Elephas maximus indicus: one gene and its partner. The protein of the gene in region 1 purifies or fractionates together with the protein of each later gene. This does not show direct contact. Links are inferred from orthologs where the notes say so. Each region holds a gene or a part of one and is shown on either strand. Other genes may lie near its edges.

The links.
Region 2: the proteins of UTP4 (region 1) and WDR75 purify together in Homo sapiens (co-immunoprecipitation; 3 studies listed by BioGRID and IntAct, counting the BioPlex papers as one, with this or other methods). This does not show direct contact. The link is inferred for Elephas maximus indicus from reciprocal best matches to the Homo sapiens genes UTP4 and WDR75.

Annotation. Positions count from the first base shown.
Region 1 is NC_064839.1:35,379,637-35,383,551, forward strand, and holds the start of UTP4 (U3 small nucleolar RNA-associated protein 4 homolog), read left to right. Parts: upstream 1-1,404; 5' UTR 1,405-2,297; coding exon 2,298-2,558; intron 2,559-3,915. UniProt on the Homo sapiens protein: Ribosome biogenesis factor. Involved in nucleolar processing of pre-18S ribosomal RNA. Part of the small subunit (SSU) processome, first precursor of the small eukaryotic ribosomal subunit.
Region 2 is NC_064824.1:87,569,027-87,572,941, forward strand, and holds the start of WDR75 (WD repeat-containing protein 75), read left to right. Parts: upstream 1-1,311; 5' UTR 1,312-1,443; coding exon 1,444-1,529; intron 1,530-3,915. UniProt on the Homo sapiens protein: Ribosome biogenesis factor. Part of the small subunit (SSU) processome, first precursor of the small eukaryotic ribosomal subunit.

The DNA of each region.
Region 1 (3,915 bases):
TGGGCCCGCTTTCCAAGCGCTTTAACCCCTTTTCCTAGCTCCCAAAGAATTAATATTTAAACTGCCCTCCTCCACACCTCCCACCGGAGCGGCCTTTCAAACCGCTCACATCCTCCCAAAAATTACTCTTTAAACGTTCTTACTTTGCCACCCTCATTCTACAAACTGTTCCCTGTTCGCCCTTCCATGCTAAAGTTACTTTCCTCCTCCAGCACCCCCCCCATTCTCACATATTCTATTCCACCCCCCAAAAAGCCTGGAATCACTCTCCAGACTGTCTCTTCCTTCCAACGGCTCTCCAAATTAACTTTCCCAGCAACCTCCCACCCCATGATTTAAAATGTCCCATCAAAAAAACCTAACAGTCCTGGCCTCCCCCCGCCCCCCCCCCCACGAAATCTTTCTGCCATCCTCGCAACTTCCTGGGTTCCTAGTCCTCCCCACTCCCGTAAGCCTCGCGTGTCGGGCTCCCATCCACCCGGGGAAGAGCCCCTGCCCGCACATACCTCGAGGATCCGGCCCGCGCCGCCCCCTTCTCCGTCCTCCGCCCGCGCTCGGCCACCCTTTCCGCCCTTCTGTCGCTCCGCTCCGCCCCACTCGCTCCCTTCCTTCCCTCCGCCTTCCGTCTCCACACCCCTCCCTTCCCCCACAATTCCCAGCCCTCCCACCGGGGCCCCTCTGGGTTCGCCCCCACCTCTGCGCGGCCCTCTCCTCGCCCCTCCCCCCTCCCCACCGCCCCTCCGCTCCCCGCCCCTCTGCTCGCCATTCTTCTACCCGAGCTGCGCGCCCCATCCGGCTCCAGCTCCCTAGCTACCCGCTCCTTCGCGCCCTCGCCCCCATCCCCAGCTTGTTCCTCGCTTCCCGCGGCCTCCCGCGCCCCCCGCCCGCGGCCTGACCTGCAATGGCGGCCGCCGAGCGCGGCGCCGCGCGGCCAACGGGCGACAACCGAACCTCCCGCCGCCGTCGCCGCCGCCGCGAGCACTGCCTGCGCACTTCCGGCCTCGTGTCGCGAACACTTCCGGGGCAGAGCACGAGAGCGCGCGCGCACGTGGGACCGGGGCGGAGAGTGGTGAGCGCGGGACAGGGGGTGAGTTGGGGAAGGGGTTTGAGAAGCGTGTGAGAGGGGCGAGTCTGAGGGGGTGGGATTCGTACAATTTCCGCGCCCAGCGGAGCTCTCTGAGTCCTTCGTGCCGAGACGGGATGGGGGCTATTCCACAGACCCCCAGAGAAGGAAGGGGCGGCGAAGACTTGCAACCGCTTCAGACGCCCTCGTACCGGGGCCGGACCGAGCATGCCTGCTGTGCCCCCGAGTTCAGAGCCTTGAACTAAGGCCAGCAAGTGGCGTACCAGATTCGACCCTTACCTTTGGCGCTGTATGTTTGTTGGCAGCCGGGGTGGGGGTGCGGGGTCTGTGGAGGGGAAGAAATAGTGACAGAAGCCAAACAGTGCATCTAGAGTAAGTCACTGAGTCCTTTCGCTCCCTCCCCGTGAGGAACTCGCGATTCTGCCCTCACCCGTCAGCCCCACCGTCACTAGCTTAGTTTGGGTCTGTGATTTGCAAACTTTAGCCTGCTGTAGAGTTGGGAAGAGGTGCTTGCTAAAATATACATTTCCTGTTCTCCCGCCTCTCTCCCCGCAAGATTGGAATTCCGGAGCAGTAAGACACTGGGTTTGGACTGGGTTAGGGTAGGACCCCAAATCCTGCATTTTTAAACCATTCCCCGAGGTGATTTTGATGCAGGAGTTCTACAAGCCTCACTTTCAGAGACTGATTTAGGTTGTCAGCGTTTCTTGCCTTCTCTGTCTTTGTGTGGTTTAGGCCAGAAGTGTTAATAGGAAGCTGTCCTCCATTCTCTGTCATTCTTTCTTGATTCTGGTGGCGGTGTCTACTTCACACACAAAGTAGAAGGGAGAACCTTAGCTTTTGCCCCTCACACAACTGGTCAGCTCTGTGTTTCTCCCTTATTCAGGTGCGGGCTCCCAATTAGGCAGAGAAGGAGGTTATGTTCAGTCCTTTTGTTCTCAGATCAAATTCGAGATTCTCACTCCTCTTTCCTGGACCATTTCCTTGAGGCAGCTCATGGGATGGGATTGTTAAGAGTCTGGGCGATGTTCTATGTTTTCATCTTTTGATTCTTTACCGAAGTATCCTTATTCAAATCATCCTGAGTTCTTGGAGATCGTTTGATAGGTTCTTATGTGGGCAAGAGAGCATTATGAATTAGATATTCAGAAATGGACATCAGTGAGATATAATTGAATCCTCCCATGTATGAGTTGGAATCAACTCCACAGCAATGAGTTTTTTAATCCAGAACACTGATAGTGAACTGATTACATGTGACGTGCTGCAGTTAAAGTTTAACAATAATGACTCTCTTTTTTCCCCCCTCCTAGGAATGGGTGAATTTAGGGTCCATCGAGTACGTTTCTTTAATTATGTCCCATCAGGGATCCGCTGTGTGGCTTACAATAACCAGTCAAACAGATTGGCTGTTTCACGAACAGATGGCACTGTGGAAATTTATAACTTGTCAGCAAACTACTTTCAGGAGAAAGTAAGTCATTCTAGAGCCTGATCTGGTGTTTCTGATGTGTTTTTCTTAAGTTCAAGTCCACAAAACTTTTATGTCTTTTATATTCAAAGAAATCAAAAGAATGTAACTCTCTCCTCCTGGAGTTGTTTAGAACTATATAACTGATATGGCAAATATGAGATCTTTTGTCTGACTGATGATGGAGCTCAGAGTTTTGGTCTGTGTAATGTCGATTAGAATGGTCCTACCTAGGGATTGTTGTCATTTGAAAACTGAGGTTTTCTGGATCTTTTTGGCACAGCAGGAAGGGAAATTTTCCACACCATTGCTTTATATCAATCTCAGCACCCTGGCAGCTTTGGTAAGGAAGCACTTCCTGCTGGAACTGTCAGTGCTAGTTTCATTGTCAATTTAGAAAAAATGATCACCATTTTAGTATCAAATTGGTGATGTAATAGCAGGAAGATAGATTCCTATGTTCACCTGTCCAAGAGAATGCAGACTTATATGCAGATATCAGGGAGTAAAGGGTATTTTAAATTAGGTAAAACACTCTTTAGATATATCCAAAGGAATGTTACAGCGGCATTTTTTTTCAAAGGCACCGATTGCTGTTTTTCTTCAGGTGCAGCTTTTAATTCAGTTCACATTTGCTGAATACCTAATATGATCCCAACAGCCTGATACCTGGCCCTCTGTAAATCTCCAAATGAATAAGTGAGAGATACTAGGTATTGTAAGGCAAATGTCAGAGGCCCTACCTTCAAGGAGCTCAGAGTCCAGCTGGGGGAAAGATAAGTACATAGATAGTTTTCAAATAGTGTGATACATGCTGTGATAAAGCTAAACACAGGCACAGAACCTCGGTGGAGAGGTGCCTCACTCAGATAGGCAGGTTTAGGAAACCTGGAAAGAGGTGACTTACTGAGCTGACCCCCAAAAAACTGATAGGAGTTAATCAGAGAAAGCTATTAAAGCAGAGTGAGCAACGTGTCCAATGACCCAGCAATGGCCAGAAAAGACAGGACACTTTAAAGAGCGTAGGAGAAATGAGGCTGTAGTAGAGACCAGATAAATGTTTAGGGCCTTTTGTAACACGTTAAAGAGCTTGAGTTGTCATGCAGGCTATAGGGAGCTCTAGGAAGTGAAATAACCAGAACTGTATTTTAGAAAGGACTCTCTAGCTGTAGGGTGAAGAAGAGATGGAAGAGGAAGGAGGATAGAGACTGGGAGTCCAGTGAGGAGAGACTGTTTAGTAGTCAGGGGAGAATTGAGGCAAGGGCAGTGGAGATGGTCAGGAGATGATAATTGGAGAAGAATAAGGGAATAGAGTTGTGAGAACTTTTGGGTTGATTGTTATTTCTTGCAACTTGTCTTC
Region 2 (3,915 bases), on another chromosome or scaffold:
ATTTCAAAGAGGAGATACTGTAACACAAAACTAGAGTCAAAACAATGAAGAGTACAGGCAGAAACCTGTACACCAATGTTCATTGCAGCATTTTTCACAATAGCCAAAAGGTAGAAACACACAAAATGTCCATCAAAAAATGAATGGATAAACCAAATGTGGTATATAAATGCAATGGAATACTACTCAGCCATAAAAAGAAGTCCTGATACATGCCATAACATGAATGAACCTTGAAAACATGTTGGGTGAAAAGTCACAAAAGGACAAATTGTATGATCTGATTTATATGAAATAACCAAATACATAGAAACTAAGGATTATTTGTGGTTACCAGGTGTGGAAAGAAGGGGAAGGAGGGAGAGTTTTTGCTTTGGGGGCATTGAGGTTATGTTAATGGTGGTGGAATGATTTGGAAATGTGCAGCTAGAATGGTTGCACGACTTGAAGAATGTAATCAATGTTACTGAATTATACATGCAGAAATTGCTGAGCTGGCAAATGATTCGTTATATATATTTTCACTACAATAATTCTAAAAGTGGGGGGGCAAGGAACTGGAGATACAGGCATAAAAAACATCCTCTGAGAGTACAGGGGTACCTAACCCACAGGTACGGGAGGAGGATGGAGGAGGGTAAAACCAAGGCAACACGTATGAAACAGCCCATAGCAAACTAGGGAGCACTAAACGGAGAACCTGGCCAGTGAGGCAGAATATCAGATCAGGATGGAGGAGGGTAAAACCAAGGCAACACGTATGAAACAGCCCATAGCAAACTAGGGAGCACTAAACGGAGAACCTGGCCAGTGAGGCCGAATATCAGATTTGCCCCAGTAGCTACACTGACGGGGAAGGAAAAGGATGCGATGCACTAGACTTTACAGTCGGAGGTTTTAGAAAGGCAAAAGCAAGGCACTCGGAGCTGTAGAGATCCTGTAGGAACGTATGTGGTGCTCAGAGGACGAGAACAAAGTAGCAGTTACCGAGAGGAACACAGAGCTGTGCAAGAAGTAGAAAACTACTTTCCCCACTCAAGAAAGCCAAACTCGCAGCCAAGAACCAGTCGGCACAAGACTATAGCATCATCTCCAAGCGACCGAATCGTAGTTCAAGAAAGGCGAGGCTTACGGTGGGAGGAGAGGTCACGTGATTCACTATGCGCCACCTTTCCCTTGTAGCGGAACAATCTGTAGAGTTCGATTGACAAGGCCGGAGTGAGATGTATCTCTACTATAGCGTAGCCGTATATTATATACCCTGTGCGTTTTACGCTTTCTTTTTTCACAGGCGTCCTATTTTGACGTTGCCCAAACAAAAGATGGCGGCACGGGCGCCGGCTCCTACCATAGAGGCTCTGGCTAGAGAAGCCCTGTAAGAGTTTTGTTGCTCAGTATAGGAAGTTCGGGGCCAGTGATCGGGAAAACTGCGTCTGCGCGAAGATGGTGGAGGAGGCGAGTCTCCGCGTGGTTCGCTGTGGCGGCAGCGAGTTGAACTTTAGGAGAGCGGTTTTCTCTGCGGATTCTAAGTATGGGACCTTGTCGGCCCGGCTGTGGGGCGTAAATCCCGGGGGGGCGGGGAGGGGAGGCAGTGGGGAGAGAACTGTCAGAGTTGCGTCTCATGTCGCCTGCCTACGGATCGGGGCTCTGGGGAAGGGGCGCGTGAGCGGAGACCCCAGAGCACGCGCGAGGGAGCTGGTGCACTCTGAGAGTAGTCCTCTGGCACCACAGGCTTGGGTTCGATTCCCCGTCCCTGGACAGTTTGTCTTCTGGTAGATTGAGGTGTACAGGGGCGGGTCCACGTGTTCATTGGCTTGGCGTTGTGGTGTCTGAAATGTGGTCCGCTGCGCTTTCGGTACCACCAGGAGTATCTTTACTGTTTGGTATAGAATCGTGTCTTGGAATTATTGAACCTTTTAAAGATTCCGCTTTTCCTATACTTAACCCCCCCCCCAACATAAGGCACTTAGTCAACCTTTTTGCAGCTTTGTGTGAAAACTGATGGTAGACTCTGTGCAGGATAAAAAGTTAAACCCAAGTATTGCCTGAGTTTGAAACCCAGTTCTTACGCTGTGTGACTTTGACAAGTTTCTTAATCTGTCTCAGTTGTCTCTCTGTAAAATGGGGATAGTAACACATCTCATAGAGTTGTTTGAAGGATTAAATGCCTTAATACACGTAAAACTTGTAAAACGGTGCGTGGCACTTAATAGGTCAGTGTATGTCAGCTACCATCGTCATTACTCTTACGTTATCATAATCTACAAGTGACACATTGTAATAAGTTTTTCAAATAATGTAAGAATATAATGGCACTAAGTACAGCCCTGTCTTAGAAGAGTGGGAATAGTATCTTAGGAAAGTTTGTATCCCCCACAGTATTTTGCATATGGGTGTATGGCAAATGTTGAATACACACATGACTGAAGGAGCTTTCATAAATTCCTTTCGAAATTTTAATAAGGAAAATTCAAATCCTTGGTCTTTAAAGTTAAAAAGGGCTTTGTTGATACTCATGAATCAGAGAAGGAAACTGAGGCTCTGAGAGTTTGCCAAAATTCTGCCGCTTTAGGCTAATACCCACTAATCCAGTTTCTTCTCCAGTGTACTGTTTCTACAACTTATTCCTTATGAGGTCTGTTGTGTGTTTCATTTGCAGGCCCTAAATTCACTTCTAATATTTGTCATACTTACGATGTATAACATTATGAGATGTCAAGAACTAAGAGAATTCAAATATTACAATCTAATGAGGAAAAAGAAATACTGAGTAACAGATGTTTCATACAGTGGTACCGTGCAAGCAAATAAAAAGGGGAGAGTACTTCACACTGGGAAAATGGAGGTTTTTGAGGAGGTGACATTTAGGCTAGACCTAGAAGGGTAGGTGTTATTTGGACCAAGGGATGTGGATGGAAGGCATTCCAGGTGGGGGACAGCACAAGCAAGAAGGGTAGAAGTAAAGACCAAACCTGTTGTCTTTGAGTCAGTTCAAACTCAGAGGCATATTTATATTGAACAGCCTGTGATGCAGTTAGCTAGTAGGAGTGGTCTCTGAAGAGAACTAATGGGAAGTGAAGTTGGAAAGAGAACTTGGAGACAGGTATTGGTTGTTGTTTGGTCCAAGGATGGTGTTTTGTTTTTTATTTGTTTTGTTTGTTTTTTATTCTCTAAGTAAAGGTAGGGATGTAACATGATTGTGTTTCTTCAAAAATATTAATACAAAACTCATGTAGAAAACTATATAATATGTGTTGGAGAGTTGAGAGGTGGGTAGACTAGTATACTCAAGGTACAGCCATGGCCTAGAAGAAGGACTCACATAGTGAAAGTTTCCCATCAGTAGTAAGATCTTGGAAGACTGACAGGAGTTTCTCCCACCAATGACATTGAGGGAGGGCATTCCAGCAAAGGGAAGAGCTTGGTTTGGAGTTGGGGAGGTCATACACGTATTATCAGTATAGTTGCAGCATATGGCATAGGGAAATGGTAGAATAAGAGTCTAGAAGAGTGAAAACCAGGGGTTAGAAGGCTAGTGCAGGCATCCAAACTAGAGTGACTTTGGCCTGAACTAAGATAACATCATTGCGGATGGAGGGAAGAGACAGGTTTTTGGAGTGATTTTGTGATTAGGATTAACAGGGAGAGATATTGAGGTCAGTTTGGGCCCTATTGAGTTTAAACTCCGAAAACCAAGCCCATTGCCATTGAGTCACTTCCAACTCGTAGTGACCCTGTAGGACAGAGTAGAACTACCCCTTAGGATTTCCAGGAAGTGGCTGGAGGATTCAAACTGCTGACCTTTTGGTTAGCAGCCGATCTCTTAACCTAGTCATAGGTAGTGGTCAAGTTGAAATTGAGGACTGAAGTTTGAGGAGTTTAGGGATACACATTTTTTTGTTGTTATGTATATAC